3 linked regions of the Mus musculus genome follow. The protein of the gene in region 1 purifies or fractionates together with the protein of each later gene. This does not show direct contact. Links are inferred from orthologs where the notes say so. Each region holds a gene or a part of one and is shown on either strand. Other genes may lie near its edges.

Region 1 (3,985 bases):
CTGTCTTCCTTTGGAGAAAGGAGAAATCAGCCCAAAAGGGGCCTGAGGGCTGGGGAGCAGCAGTAGTTGGGGGACAAACACAGCTTCTACATTGTCTGCTAGGAATTTGGGTATTGAGATCTGCCTAGAGTCAGGTTCAGGTGGCCAGGGCTCTGCAGATGGGATAATAGTTTGACAAGAGGGAAAAAAGAAATCAGAAATGGTAATAGATACAAAGAATAAAGATTGAACAAATCATGGCTCTAAGGTCTGAGACCTCTCCTGGATGCTGGTTGTACCCCCTCCCTCTTTTAGGAGGAGCTGTAGGAACACAATTCTGCCACCTGTTTTCTGGCTGACCCAGCATCAATATCACTCTCCTAAAAAGTTCCCAGATGTTACTGGTGGTCAGAGGCCAGATGCCGGGGTGGGGGGTGGGGGGTGGGGGTGGGGGGTGGGGGGTGGCGCTGCTGCACTGGAGAAGCCTCCACATGGAGGTAACATGTATGTTACCTTGTTAAGTGTTCTGTGTTACACTTGGACCAGAATCTTGCATTTCCAAATATACAGTGGTTATGGCCGAAAAGATGTGTCTGCTTTCTGATTTGCCATGCTCTTTGTGCTTCTAGGAACTGGGAGCTAGCTGCAGGTCAACCTGGGGAGGGATGGAGAGTAATTGGAGAGATGGGGATAGAAGAGATTTATCAAAACATTATATTCAAATATGAATTTTTACTTCATGTGATTTCTTTTACCTGCATATATGTCTGTGTAAAGGTGTTGGATCCCCTGGAACTGGAGTTATATTCAGTTGCAAGCTGCCATATAGATGCTGGGAATTGAACCCAGGTCCTTTAGAAAAACAGCCAGTACTCTTTAATCATCTCCAGCCCCATATATAAACATTTTAAATTAAAAAAGGGAGGATTTGTGATTAAGGAATCTGGCCTCAACACACATAAGTACATGTGTACACAAACACACTTTTTTTTTTGAGTTTTTCAAGACAGGGTTTCTCTGTGTAGCCCTGGCTGTCCTGGAACTCATTCTGTAGACCAGGCTGGACTCAGAAATCTACCTCCCTCTGCCTCCCAAGTGCTGGGATTAAAGGCATGCACCACCACTGCCAGGCACAAATTTTTTTTTAATGAAATGTGGATTTCTATAAAGACTTTGAGAGGGAGGCTAGCCTTTGAAAAATTGCAGATAACATATGTAGTTTCTGTGCCCCAAAGAGAAAGAACATAATTTAGGACTTGTTTTGCAGTATCATCTGTCGAAACAATGTGATAGTGGAAGAGGGTCACCTCACAGACCATCCTAGCCAGGTAATCTAAGCCAATATGTTGTTGGTAGCATATGCACTTGGCCCTTGAAAGGCTGTCATGAGAGCCTTACCTCTTTTTCCTTCCTCCCCTAAACTTAAATCACCATAGTAAACAAAAGAAAAATACAAAACAAACTAAATTAAGGAACAGTACATGAGATACAGACCAGGCCCCCAAACTGAAAGTTATTAAAAGCAAGGACAGGGCTAGAGAGAAGACTCAATGGTTAAGAATATTAGCTGTTCTTCCAGAAGACCCAAATGGCAGCTCACAGTCAGTGAATGTGACAGTGTCTTCTGGCCTCCATGGGCTTTATACATACATAGTTTACATATTTGTACAGGCTAAATAACTATAAACATAAAATACGGTTGGGGAGTGGGTTTTTTGTTTTGTTTTGTTTTTGTTAAAAGCAAGAATGGTCTGAGATACTACCCAGGGGAGTTTTGGGATCGGGGGCTAGGGGGATGACACTAAAGGTTGTGTGGGGTCCTAGGGCAGAAAGAGGCATCAATGAGAAAAACTAAAGACATAGGAATTAAGTATGAATCTTTAGTTAACATTAAACAAGTACTTGTCACTGTATAAAATATGCCATGGTAATGGAAGATATTTGTAATAAAGGAGGGTGGGGGCAAGCTGGAACTTGTAATTTGTTTAGTGCCTTTTTTTTTTTAATCTAAAATTGGCATTAAAAAACGTCTGCTGGGCATGGTGGTTCTTGCCTTTACTCCTAGCATTTGAGAGGCAGAAAGAGGTGGATCTCTGTGATCTTGAGGCCAGTTTAGTCTACAGATCAAGTTCCAGGATAACCAAGACTACACAGAGAAACCCTGTGTGAAAAAACAAAAGCAGTATTTGAGGAAGGTGAGTTAACAAAATGGCTTGCATTTGAAAGCACTACCACCAAGCACTACCACCAAGCATGACAGCCTGAGTTCTGTGCTGGGACTACCATGGTGGAAGGAGAAAACTGATTCTTGAAATGTGCCTATTTTCCAAATACTTCTGTGCCATGGGTGCACACAAATACAGTAAAACAAGTTTTAAAATAAAATGTTGGAAAAGTGCCAATACAACTTAAAGAAAATAGGTTTTCTAGTTTGTTCTGGTTTTGTTATCAGCAGAGGAGATGACTTCCTGGGTTTTGGTTGCAGCAGACTCTCAACACGAAAGTCTCTACACCCAGTGGGTTTGTCTTACAGGCGCTCTCTGAAGTACCCAGAACAGAATGAAGTGTCTGCATGAGCTGGGAGGATGTGAGTCAAGTTTGTCATGGCTAGACATCCACTAAGACTCCTTCCTGACACTCCAGTAGCTCTTCCTCAGCCTCACCCTACATGCCATGTCCATACCCAGGTAGTGGGTGTTCCTGCCTGACTTGAGTATTTGGGGTCTTTTGTTGCTACCTTAATTTTTATGCCTCTCAGCTCTCATTCCAAATTTATGCTGGTGACATTATTATAGTAGACTCTGCTTCCAGGAAGAGCTGGGGGAGCTAGGCCAGGACTGTGAACCTGTGACCAGGGCCACTTAATAGGCTTAGTATATTCTCAGTTCAGCTTTTCCCCACCGCTTCACTGAGCCCAGTTGCTCTATACTCAGGAAAGAAAGGGAACCAGTACTAGATGGCGCCAGAGCCTAGGAGGCCTTCTCCCTAGGAATTCAGGTTTCAGAAATTAACAGACTATATAGCCACTGGTCACTGCTTTCTCTTCTGTCAGGCCTCATAGTACAGCCAGCACCATTGGGATTACTAGGCAACGTTTCACAAGATGCAGTCAGTAACACATCATTACTTTTTTTTCCTCTTCAAGAAACAAGGTGTCTATTTTGTGTGTATGCACATGCACAATAGCTCATATGTCAGAGACTAACTTAACGCAGTTCTTCTACCACGGGGCCTCGGGTATTGAACCTACGTCGTCAGGCTTGGCAGCAAGCACTTAACTGTCTGAGCCTTCTCACTGGCCCAGTTTTTAAGGAACTTTTAATTACAGGTTACCTTTGTTAGTTGCATAGATATACAAGTTTGCACAGAAAAAGTTTGCCACCATCTCAAGAGTGGTTTCCCAGTGTGCCTCCCTTGGCATTTTACTGTGTTACCCTGACTTTGCCCATGTACCTCCCCTTCACCTGTTCATTGGAAGCTAGTTTACCAATGTCATGTTCTCTCTTATAGGACACAGCTTGGGCTACGGTTTTGTGAACTATGTGACTGCAAAAGATGCAGAGAGAGCAATCAGCACACTGAACGGCTTGAGACTCCAGTCCAAAACCATTAAGGTAAAGAGTCTGTGTTGATCTGGAGGACAAACCTTAACTAGACCAGAATGGGGTATTAGAGTACTGTAGACTCAGTACCTACAGGTGCTAGGTGTATTACTCATGAATGGGGTGCCAAACAAGAGCAGTTATGCTTTAAGAGACCCAGAAGCCAGGTACATTTCTGTCCCTGCCTTGTTGCCCCCTGCACTTGGGTACTTTTTTTGAAGGCTTTGTTTACATGCACATCCTAACCAGCCACAGATCACAGCTCTTAATAGTTAACTTATCTGCTGTGTTCTCGCTGGTTCTGGTGTTGTATTCTGGTTGCAGAGAGCAGAGTGACATGTTCTGCATCTCTATGCCTAACCATCTATCTCTTCTCTGTGACAGACTGGCAGCTACAGAGAGCA
Region 2 (3,985 bases), on another chromosome or scaffold:
TGTGCTTTTTGTTTGTTTAAGATTTATTTATTTATCTTATGTATATTAGTACACTGTCACTCTCTTAGACACGCCAGAAGAGTGCATTGGATCTTATTACAGATGGTTGTGAGCCACCATGTAGTTGCTGGGAATTGAACTCAGGACCTCTAGAAAAGCAGTCAGTGCTCTTAATCACTGAGCCATCTCTCTAGCCCCTGGTTTTTGTTGTTGTTGTTGTTGTCTTGTTTTTTATACAGGTTTATTAGGGTTCAACTAGTATAACAATGCTATGTTTGTTTGAGGACATTGCCTAGGTTAGCCTAGAATTTCTGGATCCTCCAGCCTCAGCCTTATTAGCTGGGACTATCGGCAGATGCCTACAGGATACACTGGGTGTCTTTTCTGCTCCCTTACCCCCTTCAACTTAGGGTTAGAGCCTGGGCCTCATGCATGCTGGACAAGCTAAACAGTACTACTGCGCTAAACCCTCAAACACAACTGCACATATATTTTGAGTGTGTAGTTGTATGGATTTCGATTTGTATGTGTTGATAATGTACCTGCTGACCGTGATCACAGTTGAGATAATGCTGTGGCTCCCAAATGTCACCCTGCCATCCTCATCCGCCATTTCTGTTTACAGAACACCGATCTCTGCTGGGCTTGTATCCTGACACTTGGCTCAGGGTTTTTTCTGGGTTCATCACATAGTTGGGTAACCTTTGTTGACATCATTGACCGAGCTGTCCCCTACTTCCTTTCCAGGGCAGATGAAGTTCCCCTGAAGATCCTGGCTCATAACAACTTCGTCGGGCGACTCATTGGCAAGGAAGGGCGGAACCTGAAGAAGGTGGAGCAGGACACAGAGACGAAGATCACCATCTCATCGTGAGTTTCTCCGTGATTCCCTCCACAGCAGTGCCGAGCTCAGGCTGGGGTCACAGCAGTGCCGAGCTCAGGCTGGGGATGAGGGACCTGCCACTGGGCCTTAGCACCTCCCTCTTGGGACAATCAAATCGGAGACGTGAGGAGAACATTTTGTCCTGCTCAATGAGGGCTGGAGCACCCTAATACCTGCCCTTGGTACAACATTCTAGACACACGCATCCCCACGAAAGCCTGCAGCGAAGGTCTGGCCTTTAGGTGTGTCTGCCATTGTACAAGGTGTACAAACCTTGGTTCTTTTCAGCTGTGGCACACAGGGCTGCCTCTGAAGAGCAGTGACAGGAGTGGGTTAGCTGCCTGTAAGCAGCCTGCCTCTCCATTCCTTAGAGCTGTTGCAGAGTAACTATTGCACAGTAGCACATCAAGTTCTGCCTGCAGCCTCTGTGTGTCTGCTGACCACAGCCTTTCATGATAGCCTGTGTTCCCACAGACGGAGTTGTTGTGAGTATGCTTAGTTTCCTTGCCCTGGTTACCTGAAGCCTGGAGATAGGGCTTCCCTGCCGGAAGTTAGACGTCCTTTAGAACTGCTGGACCAGTAACTCAGTTGTCTCCGGCTCTGCCCCTAGCTGGGGTCTGGCTCCCGCCCTGTGCTGCCCACTGCTTGACGTTGTCTTGCTCTCTTGCCAGGCTCCAGGACCTCACGCTCTATAACCCTGAGAGGACCATCACTGTGAAGGGCGCCATTGAGAACTGTTGCAGGGCCGAGCAGGAGATCATGAAGAAAGTTCGAGAGGCTTACGAGAACGACGTGGCCGCCATGAGCGTGAGTGCGAGGCGGCACCGTCTGCGTGTGTTGTTGGGAGTTGAGTCTAGGCCTTGGAGACAGGCGAAAGTGATACCTCTGGAGGAGCTATATCCCAAGCTCCTCTTGCAGCCTTCTCTGAACTTAGCAAGGGTTTTGCTCGCATCTATCTCAGGACACTGTGTGCGTCCCAGGTTCCCAGAGGCTGGAAGAGGGCATTGGATTCTCCAAAACTAAAATTACAGATGGTTGTGGCCCACCATGTGAAGTCCTTGAAGAATAGCAGTGCCCTTGATCAGTGGGCTACCTTTCCAGCCCCTTAGTTTGTGCTTTTGGACTTAACTCATCTAAGTTTGTTTCTGTGGAGGTGGTGGTGCTGGGGATGAAGTCTAGCGTCTTGTACATTGTAGGTAAACAGTCTGTTGTTGGCGTGGGTAGCTGTATTTACTCACAAGGGCTCGTTACATGGCTGCTGGGTTGGGATTGGGGGCAAAGTCTTGGGTTTCATGGATTCTGTACTTTAACCACTCTGTGATCTGTGTGATTTGATCTAGTTAAGCTTGTATACTGTAGGAGATGAAGGATCCCAACTTCAGCTTTTTTCTGAGACAGTCCTGCGCTCTGCTCTGTAGGCTAGAACTGAATTCACTCCTGCCTTAGTTTCCCGAGTGCTGGCCTTACAGGCATGTGCTACCACGATCTGCTCATAGGATTTTCCGTTTTTTTAATGTGTCTGTGTGGGTAGTTCGGCGTGTGGGTGGGTGGTTAGGCGTGCATATGTAGCAGCTTGAGGGGGACATTAGGGGTCATCTTCTTATTTCATATAGACATGGCTTTTACCAAGCCTGGAGTTTGGTGGGTGACAGACAGCAAGACCTAGAAATCCTGCCAGAGCCGCATGCTAGGGTTCTGTCAGCAGGCTGACCTGTGCCTCGCCTCTCTCCGCAGTTGCAGTCCCACCTCATCCCTGGGCTTAACCTGGCTGCTGTAGGTCTCTTCCCAGCTTCATCCAGCGCTGTCCCTCCTCCTCCCAGCAGTGTCACCGGGGCTGCTCCCTATAGCTCCTTCATGGTAGGTGGAAGGTCTTGTTACCCAGGGCTTGGGACATTGGCAAGAGGGAGGGAAGAGAGGCCTCTGCAGCCAGAATGCCAGCTACAAGGAGAAGAGCCCAGCTGAGGCGTCGGCAGCAGCTTTCCACTTGGTTTTAGCTCCCTTTAGTTGGAAGGGAGAGAAAAAGAGTTCATGGCGTCCTCCTATAGCCCAGGGCGCAGCTAGGTATCTGCACCTGTTACTTTTGGAGGCTGTATGGCAGCCCAGTGGAGGGGCTCCTGGGTCCTGCCTCGCCCCCTTCCCTGGGCCTTTGGTAAGGAGTCCCCTGTTCTGGCAGCAGGCTCCGGAGCAGGAGATGGTACAAGTGTTCATCCCCGCCCAGGCTGTGGGCGCCATCATTGGCAAGAAGGGCCAGCACATCAAACAACTCTCCCGCTTCGCCAGCGCCTCCATCAAGGTGATTTGTTCTTGAGTTCTCCTAGGTCTAGTATCAACTCCAGCCCCCTTCACACGTCACACTGGGAGTGAAAAGCCCAGTCCCTTGCGGGTGTCTTCAGTGCTTCTAGGTTTCCAGGCTGGACAGGTAGCAGGACTAACACACAGCAGGCTGAGTGAGATTCTGCCACAATAGACCTCCTCCCAACCCCATCCTTATCGCCTGCTGCCGAGTCTCAGTGTCACACTGCCTGGTGTGGCAAGTCTGTCAGTGTCCTTGTGTGGGAGGCCAGGAAGCAGGTGGTGCCTCACAGTGAACACTGCCTGTGCTGGTTGTCTTTTAACCATCCTGGATCCAGGATCCCAGAGAGCAAGGAAGCCAGTGCTGTTAACCTCACAGGTTTCTTTCAATGGTGTTTAAAGCTTTGTGATTTCCTCCCAACCCCAAGAGAGCTGTAGCCTCTGCATGCTCTACCCAGTCAGTCATCTCGTAATTCCCTGCCTCTTGCCAGCACTCATCTGCTAAAACCCCCAGGTGGGTTTGGTGTTGCGATGCAGTCCTACTGTGTGCAGGTCACTGAGGCAGGTCCTCCTCGCATGCTGCCCATGCCATCATCACAGTTCTTGTGTACAGTCAGGAACTTGGGCTTGGGGCTCTCTGTTCTTCCCTTCTCAGAGCGTGCACTGGGAGGGAACTAGAGGGGCTGGAGATGCCTTCATCTTCCCCTGGAACCCGCACCCTCTGACCAGCTGTTTTTTAGATTGCACCACCAGAAACACCTGACTCCAAAGTTCGAATGGTCGTCATCACTGGACCCCCAGAGGCTCAGT
Region 3 (3,016 bases), on another chromosome or scaffold:
AGACAGAGGAACTCACATGGGCGTTAGTAGCTTTTGGAAGAAAGGTTGAGAAAATATCTGGTGCCGGAAGCATGCGTAGGTGGGGGGGGGGGGGGTCTAGGGGACAGACACCACCCAAGCTTAGGAAATTTTTATGGGAAAACTCTTGATGGTCCCCAATGAAGGAGCTAGAGAAAGTACCCAAGGAGTTGAAGGGGTTTGCAGCCCCATAGGAAGAACAACAATATGAACAAACCAATACACCCAGAGCTCCCAGGGACTAAACCACCAACCAAAAAGTACCCATGGCTCCAGCAGCATATGTAGCAGAGGATGGCCTTGTTGGATATCAATGAGAGGAGAGGCCCTTGGTCCTGTGAAGGCACTATGCCCCGATCTAGGGGAATGACAGGGTCAGGAAGCAGGAGTGGGTGGGTTGGTGATCAGGGGGAGGGGGGATAGGATGAGGGGTTTTTGGAGGGGAAACCAGAAAGGGGGGATAACAATTGAAAAGTAAATTAAGAAAATATCTAATAAAAAGAAAAAAGAAAACCTCTTGTCTTCCCCTTGCCACCACAGAGGAACATTGACACCCAGAAGTCGAGGATTCACGCAGAGTTCGCACTTCAGAATAGCTTGCTGGCTCAGGAGGAGCAGAGGCAGCTGCAGAGGCTGGAGAAGGATCAAAGGGAGTACCTGAGACTCCTGGGGAAGAAGGAGGCTGAGCTGGCTGAGAAGAACCAGGCCCTGCAGGAGCTGATCTCAGAGCTGGAGAGGAGGATTCGTGGTTCAGAGCTGGAGCTACTGCAGGTGCGACCCCTGCGCAGGCACAAGGAGTACCTTGGGAAAAGCCTGCGCTATATGGAACGGCTCTTAAAAAATGTGCTTGTTGTGTTTCTGTAAACTACCTACATTATCTTTAATGTGCTCTCGTTCTGCAGGTAGTCTCACTCTTTTCCCAAAATAAACTTAAAATAATTTTTTTCCGAAGCATAGGAACTAAAATAATCATGTATTCGTACTACTATTCTTTTTTCTAATTTTTCCCATAATGATGATAGCTCAGGTTCCTAAAGGGCACACTAGTGGCCTGCCAGGCTCAGGTTAGTACCGCTGCAATCTCACTCCATGGAAGAGAAAATGTTAATGGAATTAGTGGGAGATTCCCGTTAACTTACATCAGTTTATCTAAGTAGTAAGAGGCAGAAATTAAGATGACAGATTGTGTTTTAGAGTCAGTTCATACTCTAAAGTTGCATCCATTGCATCCACCCTTGGTATATTAGCCTGGTGTTGGGACACTCTAGGTTTCTTTTCTCATACCTGTGTCACTGTCTCAGTCAGATGCATACAGACATTTCTTTCTGCTTTGTATAGAAAAACTGATTGTATTGGTTTGACTTGGCAGGCTTCCTCTTGCCTGTCACTGAACTGAGCTTCCTGGTGCCTTTTTAAGGAGCCTAGGAGGCTGCCAGTTCAAATGTTATGGCTGTCACTGCCTGAGAATGAATAGTCTCACTTGAACTCACTCTAAATAGTGAAGAGGATTAGCCACAGCACAGGACAAAGCTTTTAACCAACTAGCCATTCCTCCACAAACAGTTCAAGCCCAAAAATAGCAGGGAACCTCTCTGGACATCTACCTAAGCCATTCTCTGCCTGAAGCTACCTCCCGGCTTCAGTCGGGTTCTGTTGTTTATCTTCCTCTTCTACTGGCTCCATGGCCAGCCCCGCTCCTCCAAGAACCCAGCCCTTGTAAGTCTCTTTCTCTGTCAGTCTTTAAATCCCTGGTCATGGCTAAAGGCCATAACCACGTTGGCTTCCTAGATATTCTGTGAGCCATCACATGCCATTTCTGGTAACGGTTTGTCAGAGTTATCTTTGGGGCCTTACCCAAGGGCGATGTCACATGGCCCCAGGAATGGCATCTCAGTGGTCAGTCAGAAACTCCAGAGTTGACTGTCTGTCTCTTCTCTCCTCAGGAGGTGAGGATCATCCTGGAAAGGTAAGGAAAGGGACCAGGAAGCATGTGTGCATAGAAACCTGGTCCACTCTAAGACGTTCTCTGCTTTCAAATGGCTAATGAACATATCAAATGATGAATTGCCCGATGAATATCAATCATCTTTGTACATTAAAAGTCTCCCACCAGAAAGTGGTAATCTGAGTCTGCTAGAACTCTCCTACGGAAAGACATTCATAAGTAATGAGTAAAACCGACAGCATGGCCAAGAGTCCTCCAAGTTCTTCACAGAAGTCATTCCACCTGTTAGATGGTTTGCTGTAAAATTAAATAAAATCCACAAGGCCATGACTTTGGGCTCTGGAAAGAGATGGAGATTTATTTGAGATTCCTAGAACTTGGAACTCCTAGATAGGAACTTTTTTTTCCTTTCCTGTGGACATTGAATGCATGTGTATTTGTATATTGGTATTGAGTTTAATTATTGAGCCGTCCATGAAGGAGAGCACTGGGGCCTAAGGTAGAAGATAGGAGCAGGAAGTAAGATTCTCAAACTCTTTCCCTAGGAGTGGATCCTGGAACCTGGACACGTTAGATATTGACGCCCCAGACCTAACAAGCACATGCCCTGTGCCAGGGCGGAAGAAGATGCTGAGGACATGTTGGGGTAAGGCGACATCTAGGAATTGTGGGCTAGACAGAAAGGGATAATGAGAGTGTGGAGTGGACAGTCATGAGGAACCCAGGGTGGTAATGTGTGGAAGAGGTGGCAAGTGGTACAGGTGGAGCAGAAGACATAGATGAAGTTTCCTCACATGTCAGAGGAAGGGCAAGAGTAACTGTGGGTCATTTCCTCACATGATGAGATTCAGGGTCACCCCTCACCTTTGAGTTTAAATGGATCTCCTCACTCTAGGCAAAGAGCAGCTGGCCTCATGCATCCAGTCTTACTTATGATCTTCTTTCTGCAGTTCATATTACTCTGGATCGCAACACCGCCAACTCATGGCTCATCATCTCAAAGGATCGGAGACAAGTGAGGATGGGAGACACCCATCAGAACGTGTCTGACAA

Evidence for each region.
Region 2: the proteins of Elavl1 (region 1) and Igf2bp1 purify together in Homo sapiens (co-immunoprecipitation; 3 studies listed by BioGRID and IntAct, with this or other methods). This does not show direct contact. The link is inferred for Mus musculus from reciprocal best matches to the Homo sapiens genes ELAVL1 and IGF2BP1.
Region 3: the proteins of Elavl1 (region 1) and Trim21 purify together in Homo sapiens (affinity purification with western blotting; 3 studies listed by BioGRID, with this or other methods). This does not show direct contact. The link is inferred for Mus musculus from reciprocal best matches to the Homo sapiens genes ELAVL1 and TRIM21.

Annotation. Positions count from the first base shown.
Region 1 is NC_000074.6:4,304,535-4,308,519, reverse strand, and holds part of Elavl1 (ELAV-like protein 1), read left to right. Parts: intron 1-3,489; coding exon 3,490-3,593; intron 3,594-3,985. UniProt on the Homo sapiens protein: RNA-binding protein that binds to the 3'-UTR region of mRNAs and increases their stability.
Region 2 is NC_000077.6:95,967,554-95,971,538, reverse strand, and holds part of Igf2bp1 (insulin-like growth factor 2 mRNA-binding protein 1), read left to right. Parts: intron 1-747; coding exon 748-870; intron 871-1,554; coding exon 1,555-1,690; intron 1,691-2,617; coding exon 2,618-2,740; intron 2,741-3,056; coding exon 3,057-3,176; intron 3,177-3,915; coding exon 3,916-3,985. UniProt on the Homo sapiens protein: RNA-binding factor that recruits target transcripts to cytoplasmic protein-RNA complexes (mRNPs). This transcript 'caging' into mRNPs allows mRNA transport and transient storage.
Region 3 is NC_000073.6:102,559,561-102,562,576, reverse strand, and holds part of Trim21 (E3 ubiquitin-protein ligase TRIM21), read left to right. Parts: intron 1-558; coding exon 559-789; intron 790-1,961; coding exon 1,962-1,984; intron 1,985-2,508; coding exon 2,509-2,609; intron 2,610-2,913; coding exon 2,914-3,016. UniProt on the Homo sapiens protein: E3 ubiquitin-protein ligase whose activity is dependent on E2 enzymes, UBE2D1, UBE2D2, UBE2E1 and UBE2E2.